Linked DNA regions of Macaca fascicularis. The main gene of each other region encodes a partner of the protein of the gene in region 2 in a complex. Links are inferred from orthologs where the notes say so. Each region holds a gene or a part of one and is shown on either strand. Other genes may lie near its edges.

Region 1 (6,114 bases), on a different chromosome or scaffold from region 2:
CAGATCATATATCTGACAGAGGATTTGTATCTAGAATATAGTATACAGAATTCTCAAAATTTAATAGTAAGAAACAATCCGATTAGAAAATGGGCAAAAGACTTGAACGGACATTTCACCAAAGAGGTTATACAGATGGCAAATAAGCACATGAAAAGATGCTCAACATCATTAGCCATTAAGGAAATGCAATTTAAAATAACAATGAGACATCACTACACACCTATTAGAATGGCTAAAAGAAAAAGATAGTGACAATACCAAATGCTGACAAAGATGTGGAGAAACGAGATCTCTCATACATTGCTGGTGGTAATATAAAATGGTAGAGTCTGGAAAAGTTTGGCATTTTCTTACAACACTAAATATACACATACCATCTGACCCAGCAATTGCACTCCTGAGCATCTGTCACAGAGAAATGAAAACTTATGTTTACACAAAAACTTCTACATTAATGCTCATATCAGTTCTATTCTTAACAGGCAAACATTGGAAACAACTCAAATGACCTTCAATGCATGAATAAACAAACTGTCTAGTATAGACATCCATACTAGAGACTACTACTCAGTAATAAAAAGCAACAAATCATTGAGACATGCAATAAACTTGGGTGCATCTCAAGAAAATTATGCTGAGTGAAGAAAAGCTGATTTCAAAAGGTATGATTCCATTTATGTAATATTCTTGAAATGACAAATTTATAGAGATGGAGAACATGTTAGGGGTTGCCAGAAATTAGAGCAGGAGAAAGCGGTGACTGTGACTACAAAGTGTAGCAGGAGGAATCTTTGTGGTGGAGAAAAAGTTGATTGTGGTGATTACACAAATTTAAAGTGTTAAAATTGCACAGAACTATATACACAGACTCAGAAATCAGTGCATGAAAAATTGATGAAATCTGGAACAGGTCTGTAGATTGTATTAATGTTAATATCTATATTGTATTATAGTTATCTATAACCGTTGGGGGAAACTGGGCGAAGGGTACATGGGACCACTCTGTACATTTTTCTTTTTACAACTTCTGGTGAATCTATAATTATTTTTAAATAAGTATAATAAAGTGAGATAAGTCTGAAAGACTACGAATATTTTAGAACTCACACATTTCCATATTATGGAATATAACTAGATCTTTGACATGGAAAACAGACAAAATACAAAAGAGCCTACATTATTGTTCATCCTAGAAATGTAAATGAAAATAGCCCAGGACGGTAGCTCATGCCTGTAATCCTAGCACTTTGGGAGGCCCAGGCAGGCAGATAGCTTGAGCTTAGGAGTTCAAGACCAGCCTGAGCAACATGGTGAAACTCTTTCTCTACTAAATAAATAAATAAATAAATAAATAAATAAATAAATCGGGCCATGGTGGCATGTGCCTGTAGTCCCAGCTACTTGGGAGGCTGAGGTGGGAGAATCACTTGAGCCTGGGAGGTGGAGGTTGCAGGGAACCAAGAGATCTCGCCACTGCATTCTAGCCTGGGTGACAGGGAGCCAAGAGGTTGCAGTGAGTCAAGATCGAGGCACTGCATTCTGCATTCCAGCCTGGCGACAGAGCGAGACCCTGACTCAAAAAAAAAAAAAAAAAAAAAAAAAAGAAAGAAAAAGAAAAAGAAAGAAAAGGAAAAGAAAAAAGAAAGAGAATGAGTATGAGTTCATCATAGTTGCATATAGTACATTTCCAAACCCAGAGAGGTAAGCCAAAAAGGTTTGTTGCTTAAACATCTATATTAGGATTCAACCAAAGGATCAGAACCAGTAGGAAATTATATATATACACACACACACACACCCACACCCACGGCGCCCAACCCGCCAGAAGAACGCGTGGTGGGAATATATGTATATACACTCCCTGTTCATTCATTTCTTCGAAGCTATTGTCTTAGACGATTGTGGTGGTGGCTAAGTAAATCCAAAACCTGTAGGGCACGCAGTCAGGAAGGGAAGATCAGGAGAAGGCTAGAACCAATGGGCACCGGCCAAAGGTGTCATCCATAGGGGAAATTCTTTCTCTAACGTACTGAGCACCCTCAGCCCTGATTGAAAGGCTTTCCAACTGATTCCTTCAGGCCCACCTAGATTATCCAGGATTATCTCCCTAACTTTAAGTCAACTGATTAGGAGCTTTAATTACATCAGCAAAATACCTCCAGAGCAACACCTGAATTGACATTCTATCAAATAACTGTGGGCTGTAGCCTAACCAGTGGACACATCGAAAAAGCCACACAACATCACAAACCACCTGTGCTGGCAACTGACTAAATGAATTCTGTTAATAGCCACTTTGGCTTTATTATTACAGGTAATTCAAGCACAAGCGACATAAATCAATAACGGCCGCCGAGTTGATGTATGAGAGTCCCACTTTGGAACTTCGGAGTTGGAAGGGGCCATGAAAAGCTTAGTCCGTATTTCAACACAGCCTAGGCATCCGCACCTCGTCCTCTCTAGCGCTCGGCGGGGCTGGGGCGTCTCGGGCAGTGGCTCACCCAGCTGGACGGGAGGGGAGCCCACCTGGAACGCGGCGCCGCGGGTGCGGGAGCGGCGAGTGGGCGGGGCGTCGAGGCGGCGGGTGGCGACGGCGCCCAGCCCGCCAGAAGAACGCGCGGCGGGCAGACGGCTGGGAGCCGCTCCGGTAGGGCGAGCGCGGCCGGCGGTGGGTGGGAGGAGAGGTTGGGGGAGGAAGGAAAGGGAAGAGGCGGAGCGTGGGAGCGCACAGTGTCAGGAATACAATAGTGCTCCGCGCCGCCTCAGCCGCCGCCGCCGCCCAACCGCCTGCCCAGCGCTGAGGCCTGACGGGCCGGGCGGACGAGGGCCGAGGGCGGGAGCTGAGGCGCGGGGGGCGGCCCCGGCGGGGGGCGGGGGCGAGGAGGGGATTAAGGGGCAGGTGCGAGGGAGGGAAGAGAAGAAAGCGAGCGGTTAGGGGGGCGGTTACCACTCCGACCGGACTCACCCGGCACATTGCCGGGCCGCGGCGTGGAGCCGGGCAGGAGCCGCGAGCCAGCTGCGCGAAGGTAGGCACCGCGGAGGCCGGACCCGGCGCGGGCGAGGTTGGGGGCGTCGCGCCGGGTGGGCGGCGGGAGCGGCGGCCTCCGGGAGTGGAAGCGAGCGGCGCGGAGCGCACAGTCCCGGCCCGGCCTCGCCGCGCTCCGGGTCGCTCCGGTTCCACATCGTGGTCGCCTCCGGCGTCCCCGGCGCCTTGGGGCCGAGAGCGTGTGTGGGCTGAGGTAAAGTGCCTAGTGGTCCCTCTGCCGGCCCGGGCAGTGCTTGGTGGCCCGGGCGGGGGGCGGGGGCGGACGCGCGAGCTTGGCTGCAGCTCCCGGCTACACCGGGCAGGAATTGAGCGCCATAACTGTTGCGGCTCTTTCCTCCGGTGCCCCCTCCTGGCGCCCCCTCCTCCGTCCCTGCCCTTTGCCTGGCTTCGGGGCTGACGGGGCCAGACCCGTGGCGGGAGGACCTGCTCTGTCGACCGCCAGGGGTCGGATGCTCCAGGGAGCGAGGGCGCGCCCTGGCTGTTTAGATGTTGGGGGGCGGAAAGAACCGAGTGCCTGGAGAGGGAAGAACGGGTGGTGCTGGGTGCGGCGAGGCACCCCGGAGAGCTCGGGTGCCCACCCGGCGGGAGCGAGAGCGCGGGCGCCCGGCGGGTCGGCGAACTTTCCCTCCCGCTGGCGGCATTGTTCGAACTGCGGGTCCGTGGCCGCCGAGCGTCGGGCGGTCCCGGGGTGGGAAAATCGTGAGGGCTTTGCTAGTCTTTCGGAGAAATTTTCCCACCGCTGGGCACGGCAAAGTTAACTTTTCTCCAGCTTTCGAGTTCGTTTCATTCCCTCCGCCCCGAGGGCCGTAGTTTGTTTTTGTTTTGTTTTCTTTTTTGGTTTTTTGTTTGTTTAGTTTTTTTAAATAGCCTTCAATCTTTTTCTCCCGCTTTTCAGAGCAGAGCCAGTGCTTCGGTGGAGTCTAGCTTTAAATTGCACAGAGCAGCCTTCGTTTGTTATTTGTGAGGAGTGGGTGGCGGGATCTGGAGTGAGTGACCACAATGGTGGTATGTGGAGGCATGTTTCAAAGTTTTTATCGCTGTGCAGCCCTGGGACATATGTAGCTGCTAGGGATTTGGCAAGAAACTTGTTTGGCCGCTTCTCCGACTTTGAGTTGCAAGGAAATCCATGGCCTCAGATGTGCGCGAGTTGTTTTGTGTGTGTGTGTGTGCCGTGAGGTGCGTTTATCTCTGAAGCTGAGGATGAGATTCCCCCCTCCCGCCCTCTGATTGTGTAAGAAGTCAGAAACCGTGTTGAAGGTGATTCCAGTGGTGGCCTGGAGGGAAAGGCGACCTCATTCCCTGTGTTCAGTCTGATAAAGTGAACTGCTGCTCTCTAAATTTGGGAAGTAATGAAAAATAATTTAGGTAAAAACTGGTTGCACAACGTCTTTGCTTAGTTTAAGCAACCCGCAATCCACTTTCCTAGACCAGTTCTCCTCTTAAATACTTTCCCTTTGGCCACTTCTTGTCAGCCTAGGTCTGGGAGGGGGAAAGAGTAGGGCTGAGAGAAGAGTCGGTCTGAACAAAGCATTGTGTTTTTATTTAGTTTAATACTTCCAAAACATCTGTAGACAATGGGAATGTGGGTCCCGGCCTTCGTACCCTTTGAGTAGTGTGGTTCTTATGCTTTTGTAACATCATGGGATTACTCTTCGGATAAGTGAAAATAGATTTTTTTTTCTTTTTTGTTTAACCTAGAAGTATTCTACCTCCATATCATTTTCTCTTTCATTTAAAGTGAGCTCTGAGCTTAAATACTTGAACTGTAAAAGGATAATACCCTCTCTTCAAGGATTACCTGAGATCTTTGAGAAGTGTTTCAGTGCCCAGCGTGTATTCAACTCTCAATCGATGTTAGCCACCATCATTGCCACCTTTTCTCCAGTTGTGCTCTTCTTTACGCTTTTGTTTGCTAGAGAATAGCTTTTAACCCAATATTGTTGCCTTGCATTTTCTGTCCAGTCAATTCTGGAGTACTCAGGGGTGCAAGGCTGGCTCTAGAATTCACACTTTCTCTCTCCCCCCTTCTCTGAGTCATGTTGCTTGCCCTCAGCAATGCGATGTGAATCTGGTCACAGGTAGAAAAAAGTAGAGAAAGGCTTCCCACTCCTCCCTGAAGTGTTGTGACCCACCTTCAGGCCCGTAGGGGAGATTCCCAGGGGCAGGACAGGTGATGGTGTAGGGCTGGCATCATAGCTAAGAAGTATGGATTGGTGAAAGTTAAAGAGGAAAGGGTGTTGAAGACTTGTAGGTTTTGTATGGTTCTCTCCTTTAATAATGCTTGTCTTTTCCCTCTCCTGTGTTCCACCAACCATAACAACCCATTTTTTTCCCCTAACCTACACAAAGCTGTATCTTCTTTCTGCCCACTGCTTTGAGGTCAGTTTGGAACTAGGCAAGTATTTTGGAGGAGGTGGGGGAGGTAGGAGGCATCAGGTGTTGATGAAGACATGGCGTTAGAGAGCTCTTACAAGCCTTGATCAGAGTTGTAGAGAGCCAGTCCAAAAATGAAGTTGAACGTTATCATGGGACATAATGCACCTATCTCCTTGTTGAGCTTACACAAAATAGGAGCTGAGAAGACAGAGGTAATATGCTGTCTTACATTAAGAAAATCTCTCATTGAGGTATAATTTACTATGATCTTGACTTGCCCCACAATATAGGTGAGAAGTGAGTGTTAGGTGACACCTGTCTGGCACTCTCCTAACGTGGGGACACTTTAATGGCTCACAAGTTTCTGTTGTTCCAGTTACATTGGCTGGGAAAGCTGAAGCATTCTGGTTTGCATGGTGGGGAGGATCTAGGATGAATGGATAGAAGTGATAAAAGGATAAATGGTTACTAGCAAGTAAGTGATCATTACAGACCAAATAACTACCACTTTGAGTTTTGTTTTCTGGAATCTTTGTGACTCCCCCATGGTTATTTTTGCCTTGTTCCTGTAGGTTTTTTCATGGACAATAGCAGCAAAGTTCTTACCATTAGAACTGCCTCTGTGCTTTTCTTGGGAGAAAGTAAGAGAAAAAGGGTCTTGGGAAAAACTTGCCTGATTTCATAGCTAG
Region 2 (5,407 bases):
GTCTGAGGGCTCAAAGCCCTCCACAGAACCTTTCTTTGGAACAGGTTTGGTTCGACCACTCTACTTCTTCAAGGTGATATAGATGCTGCCCAACCTCCAGCACTTCTGGAAGAGTCTGGTCAGCTCCATCAGGAACTGCTCGCTCTCCAACATCATCGTGGTGATGCTGGCTCAACTCCCTCCGCGTAAGCCCCTAGCAGTCTTAGCTTTGTTTTAATCGACGCATAAGTGTACATATTTATGGAGTATACTGTGATGTTCTGATAGATGTATACATTGTGTAATGATGAAATCAAAATAATTAGCATATCCATATCTCAAACACTTGTCATTTCTTTGTGGTGAGAACATTCAAAATCCTCTCTAAAGTATATTTTATTTTAATTAATTAATTTTTTTTTTTTTTGGAGGGCAGGATGCACAGGCCAGGTGTCAGCCTCACTCTCTCGCAGCTGCACCCCCCAACGGATATTTTAACAACAAAAAATCTGAAGAAATCTTATAGACTCTCCAAAGAAGAAAACTGAAAATTTCCAAACTTTCGGGTGAGAAAAGTTAGCACACAGCAAGGTTATCAACTTGTACATCTCCAGGGGCCTCCTTTCACAATATGATCTACATTTTGCTCTAGGGAGGAACACCTTACATTGATGACATTGTAAATGGTACCCCAGAGTTGTGCAACTCTGTGGTCACGAGGTCAAGACCCAGGGCTTACGCATTTCCTAGCTGTTTTGAATATTTAGTTTTCAGGTGTCTAGGGCATGGTCAATTATACTTTCTACGAACATTATGTCTTTTCCTTAGCATATGCTGTTCCATCTGCCGAGAATAACATATTCCCATCTTTCAACTTGTAAATTCCTATCAGAGCCTTTAAGACGTCAGTGTGCAGCCCGGCACGGCAGCTCACGCCTGTAATCCCAGCACTCTGGGAGGCCGAGGTGGGCAGATCACTTGAGATCAGGAGTTCAAGACGAGCCTGGACAACATGGCGAACCCCGTCTCTACTAAAAATACAAAATATAGCCAGGTATGGTGACGCTCACCTGTAATCCCAGCTACATGGGAGGTTGGTGCAGGAGAATTACTTGAACCCAAGAGGCGGAAGCTGCAGTGAGCCAAGATCATACCACTGCACTCCAGCCTGGGCAACACAGCGAGACTCTGTCTCGACAACAACAAAAAAGACTTCATCGTTGTGGGAGTGCTGCCCTAAGTTGGCTATCCCACCTCTGGGCTTCTGTAGTACTCTATGCAAACCCCTCTCACAGCCCTTGCCATAATATATTCCCATGACCAATTTTCATATCTATATCTTGCACTGAACTGTAAGATCCTTGAGGACAGGAACTATGATTTTTCTATCATGGTTCCTAGGACATAACATAGTGCTTGAGTTATAGTAGCTATTTATCCATAGTCTCATTGTGGTAAAAATTTAAAGCTTAAGAAATCAAGAGACAATAGCAATACTTTAGCTGAAATCCTAAATTCAAAAATAAAGTTAATGGCGTAAACCTGGGAGGCAGAGCTTGCAGTGAGCTGAGATCCGGCCACTGCACTCCAGCCCGGGCGACAGAGCAAGACTTCGTCTCAAAAAAAAAAAAAAAAAAAAGTTAAGAACAGTTGTTAAAGAGGATATTCCCACTTTCTTGCTTGAAAAACTGATGGTTTTTCTCTCGTTGTGCAACATACTGATATAAAAGTGACCAAAGCGGCAGGGCACGGTGGCTCACACCTATAATCCTAGCACTTTGGGAGGCCGAGGCAGGCAAACCACGAGGTCAAGAGACTGAGACTATCCTGGCCAACATGGTGAAACCCCACCTCTACTAAAAATACAAAAATTAGCTGGGCATGGTGGCACATGCCTATAGTCCCAGCTACTTGCAGGTTGAGGCAGGAGAATTGCTTGAACCCAGGAGGCAGAAGTTGCAGTGAGCCAAGATCACGTTACTGCACTCTGCCTGGCGACAGAGCGAGACTCCATCTCAGGGAAAAAAAAAGTAACGAAAGCAACACTGTTGAAGTGCTCAAAACATGTTAAAGCTTTTTTCCCCTAATCTATTACCACCTATTGATCATCAGCTCTCTATATTAGCTACAACCTTCTTTCCTCCTCAGGGAATACCAGAGAAGAGCCAGGAGGGGTCAAGGGTACCCTCCAAATTTAACCCCAGATGCCTAAATGCACTAGAGATACTTCAAACTACCTTCCAACCCCAAGATCCTCAATTCTTTATTACCAAAGCAAAATTCTATATTTCCACACTGATATTTTGGTACAATTATTAATATTTATCAAGTGTGTATTGGATTACATTCCAGAATTAAACATGGTTTTAGAAGTACTGGGCCTCTGCCAATAACAAGTCCAAGAGACTACAGATGCTCCTTGACTTATAATGGGGTTAAGTCCCAACAAAACCATCATAAGTTGAAAGTATTAACAGGCTGAACATGATGGCTCACATCTATAACCCCAGTACTTTGGGAGGCCAAGGTGGAAGGACTGCTTGAGTCCAGGAGTTTGAGACCAGCCTGGACAACATAATAAGATCTCCCAAGTAGTCCCAGCTACTCAGGAGGCTGAGGTGGGGGGATCACTTGGGCCAAGGAGGTCAAGGTTGCAGTGAGCCAAGATCACACCACTGCACTCCAACCTGTGCAACAGAGACCCTGTCTCCAGAAAATAAAAGCACTATACACCTAACCTACCGAGCATCATAGCTTAGCCTAGCCTACTTTAAATAGGCTCAAATCACTTACATTAGCCTACAATTGTGCACAATCATCTAACACAAAGCCTATTTTTAATAAAGTGTTGAATATTGCATGTAATTTATTGAAGACAGTACACTGAAGAGTACTGGTTTACCCTCATGATCAAATGGCTAACTGGGAGTTACGGCTCGCTGACTGGGAGTTATAGCTCATTGCCACTATTCAGCATCACAAGAAAATATTTCAGCCACATATCACTAGCCCAAGAAAGGACTGAAATTCAAAATTCGAAAAGTTTCTACTGAATGCATATTGCTTTAGCACCACAGTAAAGTTAAAAAAATAATAATAATTAAATCAAACCACCATAAGTCAGATACCATCTGGACTTCAAGTCCCTAAGCCTAAACCATTCAAACAGAAAGTGAAGGGATAACATTTTCATTTTACTGATGGAGACACGGCGATGTAAAAAAACAAACAAACAAACAAACAAAAAAACACAAATGACTCAAGACATACATGTGTCTCTATCCATTATACCATCCACAGTTCCTTTGGGTCTACAAACTGGATAGCAGCCCCCAACAGAAGCATTGTTAAAGACCTGACAACTCTGCATTCACTCCACATTTTACCAATCATCTGGTGCACCGTCATCTACACCAAGCCAAGGGACCAGTTTCCACATTAACTAGGAAAATAATGTGATGGGCCAGTCAGCCAGATGTGAGGAGTGGTAAGGAAAAATGAAGATTTTTACCTTGAGAACTCTGGCTTAGCCTGGCTGAGGAGCGGGTGACTCGAGCAGATCGTCGGGATGTGCCATCACTTTCTGAACTGTCTGTGTGCTCGAGATCTGTAGAAAAATCGGAATCTTCGGTTCCATCTGAACTACTGCCTGCATTCCTCTGTAATACCATAGATCCAGATATTAGCACAGAAGCATTTGGTCTGAGGGTTTGCATTAACATTGAAAATAAAACAAGCTGTGACACCGAAAACACCAAGTTCAAACCTAAGAAAGGATTCCACAAGCATTTCCCATCCTCCCACCCACCCAGGCAACTTCACTTTATTTAGAACACTTAAATGGAACAATGTACAAATAAGGGACTTTTGTTAAATAAATGAAGAGCTTCCATTTCATTGGCTCCCGTTGCCCAGGCTGGAGGGCAAGGGCACAATCTCAGCTCACAGTAACTTCCGCCTCCTGGGTTCAAGTGATTCTCCTGCCTTGGCCTCCCAAGTAGCAGGGACTACAGGCACCCACCACCACGCCCAGCTAACTTCTATATTTTTAGTAGAGATGGGGTTTCACTATGTTGGCCAGGCTGGTCTTGAACATCTGACCTCAGGTGATCCACCCGCCTTGGCCTCCCAAAGTGCTGGGATTACAGACGTGAGACACCACACCCAGCCATGAAGATAATTAATTCTTACTGTATTAGCACTAAGTATGAACCAAGATCATTCGGAGATCAGTATCACAAAAAAAGGTCCACTGTAGTGAAAAAATCGTTGGTGCTAGACCTCATTTAACTTTAGAGTAGCTTTTGTTAAATGTCTCCATGAAAAGCTATCATATTTTTTTAAAACCATATACCATCTCAAAATATCATGGACCACAACTCTGATCCCAAAAGAATTTAAGCAGAAAAAGACGAAAATTGTTACTGCGTATGCCATCTATCCTTGAAGTTTCTCCACATGAAAGCCATCTATCTTTCAAAAAGGCAGCTTGCACATGGAGACTCATGGGTATTCAAAAACAGTTGTTTTCAAAACCATCTTTTCAATGAACAATTATTTGTCAATTATTAACCTCCTCAGGAGTTCTTTCTTAGCCATAAAGATAACTTTTATCAATTGAGCACTAACACTATACCCTTTACAAAACCAGAAAGGAAAAAATATTTGCTAAAAATACAAAGATTCACGCTGTAAGTCCCAATTCTTTATTCAAAACCCTGAGGGCCAGTTGTGTTTAGAATTCGTATTGTTTTTTTATTTTTAGAAGGGGAGTACTTTGCATGTATCCTGCAAATATTGGGTGCAATAACAAAACATAATACTTCTGCAGCAAAAGATATAAACAGTCACACTAAATGAGACACACAAAAACCGTAAGTAGCCTCAGGACAGATTAAGACAGGTTTGCCGCCAAACAGGTTACTAAAAAAATGTACATTTTCAAGAAACTCCTGGTATTCAGGAAATTAAGAAAGAAGACAGGCCGGGCGCGGTGGCTCAAACCTGTAATCCCAGCACTTTGGGAGGCCGAGATGGGCGGATCACGAGGTCAGGAGATCGAGACCATCCTGGCTAACACGGTGAAACCCCGTCTCTACTAAGAAATACAAAAAATAGCCGGGCGAGGTGGCAGCGCCTGTAGTCCCAGCTACTCGGGAGGCTGAGGCTGGAGAATGGCGTGAACCCGGGAGGCGGAGCTTGCAGTGAGCTGAGATCCGGCCACTGCACTCCAGCCTGGGCTACAGAGCGAGACTCCGTCTCAAAAAAAAAAAAAAAAAAAAAAAAGAAAGAAGACTGGGGCCCTATTTCAAGGCACCAATATTATTCCTGCATTTAGTGAGCCTTAACACACATACCACCGGCTGGGCGCGGTGGCTCATGCCTTCAATCCCAGTACTTTGGGAGGCCGAGGCGGGTGGATCACCTG
Region 3 (6,168 bases), on a different chromosome or scaffold from region 2:
GATCTAGCTCACCAGCTCAAAACCCAATCAAAGCAAAACTCACAACTAACTTCTTTCCAAGGTGTCAAAAATCACGCATCCAGGCCCAAGCAACTCCCCAGGACCAGGGAGAGAACAGCGGTAATAGGCAGAGAGGCAGCCTGAGGAGCCCTCCTGAGCACCTGCATCCCTATCACTACACACCAGTCCCCTCTCAGACCACACCAACAGGCTGCGGAGACCACAGAAATGCTCCCCAAGAAGGAGGGGTCTGGCCCAGAGCCCACAGCTGGACTTTCCTGGCATGCAGGCGATCCCCCAGGAAGTCCACATATAGGGCTGGACCCCACCAGACACAGAGGCTATGCCCACCAGAGAGGCATGCTCAGTGGCTACCTGGTCCTATCGGATACTCCCCCTAAACCACTCTTCCCCTCCCCACTGCTCCCAGGAGAGCACCCACATGAGCCCAAAGTCACCACGGTCCTTGCAGCATTCCTGCTGGGCTAGGGGTAGGAGACAGACCACAGTCTGTCCATGCTCTATAGACAGGCCCTCCACACGCACACCACAGCACAGGGGACCAACAGGGGAGCCCTGTACTGGTCTGAGGGGACAGTCTTCGCCCCTGGGAGGCCCTAACCCCACTTCTGCAGAGCCTTGACAGTGACCACCATGGAAACACCCACAGGCCGAGTCAACCTGCCGCTTCCCCTCAGGGGCACTCCTCAAGCCCCAGTGAGACAATGGTGCTGGCCATGTCCTCCTCCTTTCCGAGCGAATCCGGATACGTGCAATACACCAAAGGGCATCTCTCTGTTCTCCCCGGCACACGTGAAGGTAGACACTCTGCTCAGGCTACACAGCGAGGGGCGGCCCCCAGGACCCCCTAGAAGCTTGCAGAGACCCTCACCAGGAGGGTTGCCAGCGCTGGCTCAGGTGCCTGAAGACTTGGTCACAGAGATTTAGGAGAATTTGCCGTTCCAGAGATGGGCAAAATCAGTGAGCTGCCACCCATACCTCCAGCTCCTTGTGGCAGAGGCCTCTGCTGTTCGAACACCACGGACTGTGTCTGTTCCCAGCTGTCCCCGGGGTGCCTCGTGTGTGGGCACCTCCAGTGAAGACCACCACCCGCCGGGCAGTGCCTCCCTCCAAAGCGCCACACTTCACTGACAGGAAGCAAAATGATTTTTCAGTGACTGACTCGCAAAACAAATATTCTCAGCTGAAGCCCAAGGCCCACTCTGCATCTAGCCCTGCAAGGTCAGGGACGCCTGGCCTCGGGGCCCAGGGGGAGCAGGGGCACCCGCAGCAGCCTGGCTTCAGAGCCTCACCCTGGGCCTAGATCTACTGGGCCTCAGAAAAAGCCCTCAGGGAGCAGGCTTCCCTCTGTGAGTCCCGAAAGGAAATCCCAGCCGACTTCAAGGGCACTTCTTAAGACAGACCCTCCAGCCACCGTGTATCTTTCCCTGTATCAGACAGAAATCCTCATTGTATGTTGAAACTAGATTGCAATTACCTACAGAGAGGACAGGAGAGAAAATGTGGTCAGCCAAACCTCAGCCCCCTTGCATTTCTAGGGCCTCCAGGTACCCACTCAACCCTGGATTCCTGGAGAGCTGTCAGTACAGCCCAGCCGGCCCTGGGAGCCCTGCAGAGGTGACACCACAGCCTGCAGAGAGCTACCCTAGTGCACCCGGGACGGCGACACGCGTCATTACTGAGGTGGGGCAGAAGCAACAGTTGGTTACTCACCAGATCAGAAACGAACCTGTAATTTTCCCTCGACAGCAAAGTCCTGAGTCGCCCTAACGACAAGCAGCCCCCGGAAACCCACTCTCTCCCAGGGAGCCGCGAAGCTCTTCATCTCAACACTTTCTACAAGGGGGAGAACTGAACCGAAGGCTTCACGGCCACAGCAGCTCTCAACACGGAACTGGGACCCGGGGAGAGTAGACCCTCGGCAGCGCAGGGCGACCCACGCCCTTCCCTGCTTCCCCGCTTCCCCCCTGGGCCGGTTCTGTCCGTGCTGGGACACGCATTTCCACGGGGAGGGATCCGCGGAGGCACACACGTCGCTTCTCAAGGAATAATTCCCTTAAGTACATCCTGAAGAGCTCTGCGGGCCAAAAGCAGGGAAGGCTGCTGCCCACAAGACGGCCGCTTCCCTCTTCCCACCGCCCGCCCAGGGAGAAGCCGACCACGCGCCGGGCCGCTCCCTAAAGGCCACGGGAGCCGCGGCCGCTGAGCTGTGCGAAGTTGTGTGAAGCACACGGCACTCGGGACGGCGCTGGGCCAGGCAAACAAAAACCTCCGCCGATTCCACTAACTACACAACCACCTGGCGACCGACCCTCAAAAACAGACCCGGACGGCCGCGCTTTCTGGGGGACGGGCCCGCACCCCGCGGGGCAGGGGCTCCTGCTGCTGAGGATTCTCAGAACTCCCGCGTCCGCTCACAACAGCCGCGTTTCCCGTGAACTGCGCTTCAATCGTGTCACTCGTTTAAAAGGCCCGGGGAAGCCTCGCGTTCGTCGCGAGGCGTCTCCCTGCAAACGCCCGGGGAGGCGGCGGCGCCGGTTCTCCAGCCCGGCCGCCGCAGGCCGCGCGGCTCCTGGGCGATCTCGGGGCGCGTCCCTGCTCACAGGGAGTTCCCGTCTGGGCAGAGCTCGGCCGGCCTGTCTGTTACATAAGGGGCGGCCCGGCCGGCTCGGCGGCTGCCCGAGGCCCGACCCGACTCGAGCGCGGACTCCGGGCGGGCGCCGCGGCCCAGGCCGCCGAGACCCATAGCCCGACTCGGCCTCCCTCGACTCCCCGGCCTGACCTCCCCGGTCTCCCCGCCCGGCCTCCCAGGCTCCCTGCCTGTCTCCCCGGCCGCCCGGCCCGAACTCCCCGGTCTCCCCGCCCGGCCTCCCCGGCATCCCGGGCTCCCGGTCCGCGGACAATGCGGAGCCGCCGCCGCCGCCGCCGCCAAACATGGCGTCGGCACCACAACCCCGAGAGGCCGGGCCGAGGCGGAGGCGGCGGCCCGGGAGGCCCGGGCGGCCCGCGAGGCGGCGGGGAGGCCTCCACGGCCAGGCCTCCGCCCACTCACCTTCGGGGCGCCGCGGCCGCGGGAGCCCGGCAAGCGGGCGGGCGCGGGGGCCGGCGCGGCCGAGGCGGCGCTAATGGCGCCCGCGGCTCCTCCGCCAACGGCCGCGCAGGCCGGGCCCCGCCGCCGCTCCTGGGCGCGGGCTCCTCTCGGCCGCGGCGGCTCCGGGCCCGGCAGCGGCGGCCGCGGACTCTCGGGCGGCGGCTCGCGCGGCGCGGGCTCGGGGCCCGGCTGGAGGCCCGGCTCGGGGGGCCCGGCCGGCGGGCGCGGGCGGCGGGCGGCGGGCGCGGGACGCGGGGCTGGCTCGGACGCCAGGGCCGGGTCGCTCGCTCGCTCCCCAGCGAAGCAAACAATGCGGCGAGCGCTCCGCCCGGCGCGCTGCGTGCGAGACGCGCCCCGCCCGCCGCCGCCATGACGCGCGGACTCCGCCGCCTCAGCGGCGCGCGGGGGAGGGGGCGTCGCGAGGAGCTGGGGCCAAGTGGGGACCCTGAGGCGGCAGGGACCGGGCTGGGAGTGGGGGGTCGGGAGGATGGAGAGTGGGGGCCCTTGAGTTAGGGAGGACCGGGCCAGAGGGTCCCTGAGGAGGTCAGGAGGATGGAGAATGAGGGGCCCTGAGGCAGGGGGACAGGCCTAGGAGTGGGGGACCCGAGGCAGTTGGGGAGCAGCCGGGAGTCGGGGGCCCTGAGGCAGAAGGGCATTGGCCCGGGGTGGGGTCGCTGAGGCGGGGGGACGGCCCGGGAGTGGGGGACCCTGAGGCAGGGGGTACCACCGTCCGGGAATGGGGGACCCTGAGGCCGGGGGACCGGCCGGGAGTGGGGGACCCAGAGGTGGGGGTACCGGCCGGGAGTGGGGGTCCCTGAGGCAGAAGGGCATTGGCCCTGGAGTGGGGGGGCCCTCGAGGGCGGAGGGGGGAGCAGCCGGGAGTCCGGGGTCCTGACAGGGGGGACCGGCCAGGAATGGATGGCCCTGAGGCAGGGCGATTGGCCCAGGAGTGGGGGGCCCTGAGGCAGGGGGCGATTGGCCCCAGAGTGGAGGGCCCTAAGTGGGCAGAGGGGACCCTGTGGGCCCACTGGGTGGAAGTGGAAGGGGCACTGGCCGGGGCACCCGACTAAGTAGGGGAAGGTGGTGCAGCCGGGCTGGGGAGCCTCCCCTAGTGAGTGTCAGGCCAGGTGTGCAAGTAGTCCTGCCAGTGTGAGGGCCCTGCCCAGTCCGGCGTGAAGCAGATGCCCTTTGAGGTTGCAAGAAAAGGCCCCTGCGGGCGCGAGTTGAGAGGCCTGAGTCTCTGCCTTCGCTTTGGCCTTTTGTGTAAACTCTAAAATTCAGTGGGGTCATAACAATTTTCACTCCAAGATTAAGTCCCAAAATGTTTTAAGGTGAGGCAGGAGCTCCTTGGTTTCCTTGAGAATCTGTGATCAGGACGATGGTGCTGTGGAATCCCTGGGTTCCAGCAGCCCAGCCTGTGGCATCTAGGCAGGCCCCTCGGGCGGAGCAGCTGTCCACCCTGGGACAGACCTTCCCCATGGGGCAGCAGAGCGGCCCCACTGCTCAGGGCACTGCATCAAACACCTTATTGGGAGTGGGGTGGCTTTGTTCACCCAGGTGTCCCTGATGGGGCAAAGCCCCACAGGCCTTTTCCTGGCCAGCCCTCATGCCCATGGCACCGTGCGTGGGTTGTGATGTGAAGACTTGAGGGCAGGTAGGACCCCAGCCAAGGTCCCTAGTGGTCAGTCCTGATCTAGGACTCCCTGCAGACACACCCTTGAGCCGAGAGGGTGCAGGCCACTGGGGCCCTGACCTCTTCTGCACGAGACCCAGGAACTTCGTGTCACCTCCATTCTACTGATGTCTGTTTACCTGTGGCCAAACAAGCAAGCTGAGCCGGAACCCTTCTCTCCTCCACCTCAGGGAAGCCAGATGGAAACAAGCTGGAGGTTCTCCACAACGCAGAGTGAAAGTAAGACACAGTCTCACGAAAGAGAAGATGAAGAGACACAAAACCCTTCACAGAACAGGAGAGAGACGGGGACAGTGACTTCTCAGACAATGGAGGTGATGCTCAGAGGAGAGAAGAACAAAGCCTCGAATGTAGGCGTGTCAGAGGGAGACTCAGGAAGGCCTTCGGAGAGAGAGAAAGGATCTTTTTTAGAGTTCAGACTGATCCTACAGAGGAGGGGTTGCCAAAATACTAAGAGAATTGAACCATAACTCATACACAGTGAAACTAGCGTTCCAGTGAGACAGCAAAATAAAGGTGTCTTCACGGCTTGTAAACATCCATGTTTACCACACACGCAGTCTCTAAAAGTACTAGAAGAAATACCTTAACAAAGTGAAAAGTGGACTCAAGAGTAAGACGTGGATGCTAGCAAATAAATCAGTCTGGTCTGTTAAAATCAACCTGAGAGAAATCCCAGATGAGCTCAACATGACACATGGCAAGGCCGGGCACAGAAGGAAGTGAAAGTGCACGAAAGCTCTTGTATTGTTTGGTTTGAGGATTTTAGAATCAATAGAAAAAAAGGTTAAAAATTTTAGCTGGGCATGGTGGGTCACACCTGTAATCCCAGTACTTTGGGAGGCCAAAGCAGGCGGATCACCTGAGTCGGGAGTTCAAGACCAGCCTGATCAACATGGAGAAACCCCATCTCTACTAAAAATACACACACACACACAAAATTAGCTGGGTGTGGCGGCACATGCCTGTAATCCCAGCTACCTGGGAGGCTGAGGCAGGAGAATTGGTGGAAACTGGGAAGTGGAGGTTACGGTGAGCTGAGATGGTGCCATTGCACTCCAGCCTCGGCAACAAGAGCAAAACTCCGTCTCAAAAAAAAAGAAAAATTAAACTATCAGAAAGTTTCCACAAGAATGGTGGGAAAAGAATATACCACTTTCAAAACAGCTGAGGAAAAAGTGAAATGAAAAATGACAGCACCAAAACAACAAAAAAAAACAGGAATTAGTAAAAGATAAAACCATGATAAATATGGAACATAATATGAGTTGGCAGGACTAAGTTCAAACATTTGAGTAATCAGAGGAATGTGATTGGATTAAATTCATCTATTAAAAGACAGCCTCTCTGAATGGAATATGAA
Region 4 (5,407 bases), on a different chromosome or scaffold from region 2:
AGAGTTATTTAATTGCAAAATGTAACATATATTCAGAAATGAGGTACAACATTTATAGATTGCTTAACAAATATTACCAGGTGAACCTCTCTGTTTTCTGCTACTGAGATGGAGAAATCAAGCCCTTTAGCACCTGAAGACCTTTGTGACCCTCCTAGTCATGACACCCATCCATCCAAGGGGTGACCATCTTGAGTTTGGTGATAGTCACCTTCCACCTTTAACAGTAGTTTTCTTTTTTTTTTTTTTCTGAAATGGAGTCTCGCTCTGCCATCAGGCTGGAATGCAGTGGCACAATCTCGACTCACTGCAACCTCTGCCTCCTGGGTTTAAGTGATTCTCCTGCCTCAGCCTCCTGAGTAGCTGGGACTATAGGCGCGTAACTCCACGCCCAGCTAATTTTTGTATTTTTAGAAGAGGCGGAGTTTCACCACGTTGGCCAGGATGGTTTCCATCTCTTGACCTCATGATCCACCTGCTTTGGCCTCCCAAAGTGCTGGGATTACATGCGTGAGCCACCGCGCCCGGCCTTCAACAGTAGTTTTCTTACCTCTCTAAACCAAAGAGTTACGAGCTGTGTCTGTTTCTGCCCTTTGTATTAATGGAATCATCCGGTATGTTTTCTTTTGTTTCTTGCTCTTTTTGCTCTGTGTCACCTTCTGTGGGAATCATCCGTGTTGCTGTGTGTAGCTGTGGTTTGCTCTATTTGTTGCTGAGTAGCACTCTGTTGTCTGAAGGGACCACATCTGATTTCTCCATTTCACTGAGGATTGGACATTTGGGTTGTTTTCTGTTTCCTGCTCTTATGAATGTTTTCCCACGTGTATTTCTTTAGGTTACATAAGGTTTCTTTAGGGTGTTTAAGAGTAGTATGTTCTTTCTTGACTGCTCTACCGAAAAAAAAAGAAAACAAAAAAAAGAGTAGTATGCCAGGGCATAGGAAAGGTGACTACATAATTAATTATTCACACAGGATGTTTGAGAGTCAAAGAGGGCACTGTGACCACCTGCTGTGTAACATTCAGAACTGGGACTGTTCTGGGCACGCTGCCGTAAAGTCTGCACATCCACATGATCCCAGACTGTTTGTGCAGAACGGTTCTGCCCACTTGCACTCCCACCAGCACGGCGTGAGTTCATGTCAGCCTACGTCTTTGCCACAACTTGGTGTTGGCTGACTTTAGTTGTTGCCGGTCTAGTGAGCCCATCGTGGTGTCTTGTGCAGGGCTAGCTTTTCCCCCATTTCTCCATCAGATAAGAAAGCAGAGATTGACATCCTGGCTGCAGAGTACATCTCCACGGTGAAGACGCTATCTCCAGACCAGCGCGTGGAGCGCCTGCAGAAGATCCAGAATGCCTACAGCAAGTGCAAGGAATACAGCGATGACAAAGTGCAGCTGGCCATGCAGACCTATGAGATGGTGAGGGTGGGTGGGGGCCACGGCACCCGCAGACCTATGAGATGGTGAGGGCGGGCGGGGGCCACGGCACCCGCAGACCTATGAGATGGTGAGGGCGGGCGGGGGCCACGGCACCCGCAGACCTATGAGATGGTGAGGGCGGGGCGGGGGCCACGGCACCCGCAGACCTATGAGATGGTGAGGGCGGGGCGGGGGCCATGGGTCTTCCTCCGACCTCTACTGCCTCTCATGCAACAAAATGTAAAAACTGCCCAGAAATGGGCATAGCCAAGTGGAAGGCTAGCTTTGGTAGCCTGACGCTGCTGGAGGAAATACAGACAAGATACACTTCATGTGGGACCATCCTTGTTTTTTTTTTTTTTTTTTCTGGACCCTTTTTGTTTGTGTATCTGCTCGGAGGAACCATTTGGTTTTTTTTTTTTTTTTGAGACAGTCTCACTTTGTCGTCCAGGCTGGGGTACAGTGGTGTAATCTTAGCTCAGTGCAACCTCCGCCTCCCAGGGTCAAGTGATTCTCGTGCCTTAGCCTCCCAAGTAGCTGGGATTACAGGCATGCAGCACCACCCCCACCTAATTTTTACATTTTTAGAAGAGACGGGGTTTCACCCTGTTGGCTACACTGGTCTCGAACTCCTGACTTCAAGTGATCCGCCCGCCTCAGCCTCCCAAAGTGCTGGGATTACAGGCATGAGCCACCATGCCCAACCTCCAGGTGGCCATATTTTATTTTATTTTACTTATTTTTTATTTTATTTTATTTTATTTTTGAGACAGTCTTGCTCTGTTGCCCAGGCTGGAGTGCAGTGGCATGATCTCAGCTCACTGCAACTTCCACTTCCCAGGTTTAAGCGATTCTCCTGCCTCAGCCTTCTGAGTAGCTGGGATTACAGGCATTACCAACAGGCTAATTTTTGTTTTTTGTTTTTGTTTTTTTTTTGAGACAGAGCTTTGCTATTGTTGCCCAGGCTGGAGTGCAATGCCACTATCTTGGCTCACCACAACCTCCGCCTCCCTTGTTGAAGCAATTCTCCTGCCTCAGCCTCCTGAGTAGCTGGGGTTATAGGCACGCACGACCAAGCCCGGCTAATTTTGTATTTTTGGTAGAGATGGGGTTGCTCCATGTTGGTCAAGCTGGTCTCGAACTCCTGACCTCAGGTGATCCTCCTGTCTCAGCCTCCCAAAGTGCTGGGATTACAGGTGTGAGCCACCGTGCCTGGCCTGTATTTTTAATAGAGATGGGGTTTTGCCATGTTGGCCAGGCTGGTCTCGAACTCCTGACCTCAAATGATCCACCCGCCTCGGCCTCACAGAGTGCTGGGGCTATGGCATGAGCCACTGCGCCTGCCCTAATTTTTGTATTTTTATTAGAGACGGGATTTTACCATGTTGGTCAGGCTGGTTTCGAACTCCTGACCTCAGGTGATCAGACTGCCTCGACCTCCCAAAGTGCTGGGATTACAGGTGTGAGCCGCTGCACCTGGCCTCCAGGTAGCCACATTTTAAAGTAGGATTCAGCGTCAGATATCCCAGGCCTTGTTCACCGCATTTCACAACTCTGCTTCTCATTATTGCCCACACGCCTGTCTTTTCCTTAAATGGGATTCATTCCACTGCAGTCAAAATATGCAGAAAAAGCACAAGACCTTGCATGGACTTTGAAATAGTGGGCCTGGATTTAGCAGAGGTTTGTTCACTGACGACTCAATTAAAGGGCAAGAAGGCATTTCCTAGTGGATACTTTTGTACATTTGTGATTTCTAAGGTGTTTCAGTTTTACTTTAAAACAAGACTTTGGGTATCCTTTTGTAGGTGGATAAACACATTCGAAGGCTTGACGCAGACCTGGCGCGCTTTGAGGCAGATCTGAAGGACAAGATGGAGGGCAGTGATTTTGAAAGCTCCGGAGGGCGAGGGTTAAAAAGCAAGTCTGTTAAATTTTTTTCTTTATTACTGTTAACTATGGCGTTTTGAAGTTTTGTCACAGTAAATCATTGAAGTATGATCACTAGGGTAAGTATCATATTTGGGTAAACCTTGTCTTGCAAGCTGGGCACAGTGGCTCACGCCTGTAACCCCAGCACTTTGGGAGGCCAAGGCAGGAGGATTGCTTGAGGCTGGGAGTTTGAGACCAACCTGGGCAACATAGTGAGACCTCATCTCAACAAAAAAGTTAAAAATTAGCCGGGTGTAGTGGTGCACACCTGTGGTCCCAGCTACTTGGGAGGCTGAGGTGGGTGGATTGCTTGAGCCTGGGAGGTCAAGGCTGCGGTGAGCTATGATTGTTCCATTGCACTCCAGCCAGCCTGGGAGACAGAGCGAGACTCCTTCTTAAAAACAAAACACAAAACTTGCCTTGCTTTAGCGAATTCTATAAAAATAATTTTCATCTTGATTGTTTTTCAGAAGGCCGGGGTCAGAAAGAAAAAAGAGGGTCCCGGGGCCGAGGCAGGAGGACATCAGAGGAAGATACACCAAAGAAAAAGAAGCATAAAGGAGGGTAAGAGGCTTTCCCCTCTTTTTCCCAGAAGAACAAATACCCATAGCCAGTATCCCGGATGTAGAAACACTGATGGAAGCTGACCCTTGAGTGAAGTGCACTCCGTGTGCTGGGTAGCATTCGGGTTCTTCTGGTTCTTATGCTGTGTGCCTGTCATCAGCCCGTCCTCACCGCAGCCATGGAGGGGGTGCCGTTGTTGGGCATTTTCCGTGTCGCAGGGACCTGCCCAGGCGTTAGAGCTGCTGTGGTGTGGCTGGGCCTGCACCTGGAGTCTGACTCCAGTGCCTGTCTTCTTAGCCACGGTGTGTGCTGCCCCGCTAGGGACAGTAGGTTGGTGAGCGTGTTGTTGACAGAGGCCAATGTAAACCACTCTTCAAGTAGCTAGATTTCTGTGTATCTGTCAGTTATTTTATGTGTCAGTATATAGTTTGCATATATTCATTGTTAAATTATGTGGCCACATTTATTAAATAGACATGTCATTTAACTTGAAGTTCTTTGAGATACTTTATTTAAAGCATTCTCCCACTGACACCCTCCCTGCCAAAGGTATTGTGTACCCTCCAAAGAGATCAGAGCATTACCTCGGAGGAGTGACATTTAGACTAAAGAGAAAATGCTGAAATGCCACAAAGCCTCTATGGAGATGATTCTGGTGGGGAGTGGTCAAAGAGTGTCAGTTTTGGGCATGGTGGCTCATGCCTATAATTCCAGCACTTTCGAAGGCCAAGGCGGGAGGATCACTTGAGCCCAGGAATCTGAGACCAGTCTGGGCAACAAAGTGAGACCCCCATCTCTACAAAAAATAGAAAAAATTAGGTGAGTGTAGTGGCGTGGGCTGTAGTCCCAGCTACTAAGGGAAACTGAGCTGGGAGGATCGTGAGCCATGATCGCACCACTGCACTCCAGCCTGGTCCACAGCGTGAGATTCTGTCTCAAAAAAAAAAAAAAAAAGAGTTCTTCATGACAAAAAAGGCACCATTTTCAGTTTTTTTGTTTTTTGTTTTTTGTTTTTTTTGAGACAGGGTTTCACTCTTGATGCCCAGGCTGGAGTGCAATGGCACAATTCTCCTGCCTCACCCTCCTGGATAGCTGGGACTACAAGCATGCACTACCATGCCCAGCTACTTTTTTGTATTTTTAGTAGAAATGGGGTTTCACCATGTTAGCCAGGCTGGTTTCGAACTCCTGACCTCAGGTGATCCACCCGCCTCAGCCTCCCAAAGTGCTGGGATTACAGGCGTGAGCCACTGCACCCGGCCCAATTTTCAGGTTTTTTTTTTTTTTTTGAGATGGAGTCTCACTCTGTCACTCAGGCTGGAGTGCAGTGGCACAATCTTGGTTCACTGCAACCTCTGCCTCCCAGGTTCAACCAGTTCTCCTGCCTGAGCCTCCTGAGTAGCTGGGACTACAGGTGCATGCCACCACATCCAGCTAATTTTTTGTATTTTTAGTAGAGATGAGGTTTCACCTCGTTAGCCAGGATGGTC

What was found.
Region 1: KAT7 (region 2) and JADE3 share a complex: the UniProt entries of both Homo sapiens proteins name them as parts of the HBO1 complex. The link is inferred for Macaca fascicularis from reciprocal best matches to the Homo sapiens genes KAT7 and JADE3.
Region 3: the proteins of KAT7 (region 2) and BRD1 are in contact, whole or in part, in a crystal structure (PDB 5GK9), measured with the Homo sapiens proteins. The link is inferred for Macaca fascicularis from reciprocal best matches to the Homo sapiens genes KAT7 and BRD1. Residues at the interface, in NP_008998.1 of Homo sapiens: Leu531, Phe534, Gly536, Lys537, Glu538, Ile539, Ser540, Ile541, Lys542, Pro552, Val553, Val556, Gln560, Leu565, Tyr567, Lys571, His572, Leu573, Val574, Leu575, Lys576; in XP_047297239.1 of Homo sapiens: Val40, Ile42, Glu43, Ile44, His49, Arg50, Ile51, Ser52, Ile53, Phe54, Asp55, Pro56, Leu57, Glu58, Ile59, Ile60, Leu61.
Region 4: KAT7 (region 2) and ING5 share a complex: the UniProt entries of both Homo sapiens proteins name them as parts of the HBO1 complex. The link is inferred for Macaca fascicularis from reciprocal best matches to the Homo sapiens genes KAT7 and ING5.

Annotation. Positions count from the first base shown.
Region 1 is NC_088395.1:47,017,826-47,023,939, forward strand, and holds the start of JADE3 (protein Jade-3), read left to right. Parts: upstream 1-2,561; 5' UTR 2,562-2,650; intron 2,651-2,730; exon of another isoform or gene 2,731-3,029; intron 3,030-6,114. UniProt on the Homo sapiens protein: Scaffold subunit of some HBO1 complexes, which have a histone H4 acetyltransferase activity.
Region 2 is NC_088390.1:56,916,180-56,921,586, forward strand, and holds part of KAT7 (histone acetyltransferase KAT7), read right to left. Parts: intron 3,639-5,407; coding exon 3,491-3,638; intron 1-3,490. UniProt on the Homo sapiens protein: Catalytic subunit of histone acetyltransferase HBO1 complexes, which specifically mediate acetylation of histone H3 at 'Lys-14' (H3K14ac), thereby regulating various processes, such as gene transcription, protein ubiquitination, immune regulation, stem cell pluripotent and self-renewal maintenance and embryonic development.
Region 3 is NC_088384.1:1,728,250-1,734,417, reverse strand, and holds the start of BRD1 (bromodomain-containing protein 1), read right to left. Parts: upstream 3,427-6,168; 5' UTR 3,074-3,426; intron 2,976-3,073; exon of another isoform or gene 1,314-2,975; intron 1-1,313. UniProt on the Homo sapiens protein: Scaffold subunit of various histone acetyltransferase (HAT) complexes, such as the MOZ/MORF and HBO1 complexes, that acts as a regulator of hematopoiesis.
Region 4 is NC_088386.1:137,648,113-137,653,519, forward strand, and holds part of ING5 (inhibitor of growth protein 5), read left to right. Parts: intron 1-1,254; coding exon 1,255-1,421; intron 1,422-3,229; coding exon 3,230-3,341; intron 3,342-3,823; coding exon 3,824-3,917; intron 3,918-5,407. UniProt on the Homo sapiens protein: Component of the HBO1 complex, which specifically mediates acetylation of histone H3 at 'Lys-14' (H3K14ac) and, to a lower extent, acetylation of histone H4. Component of the MOZ/MORF complex which has a histone H3 acetyltransferase activity.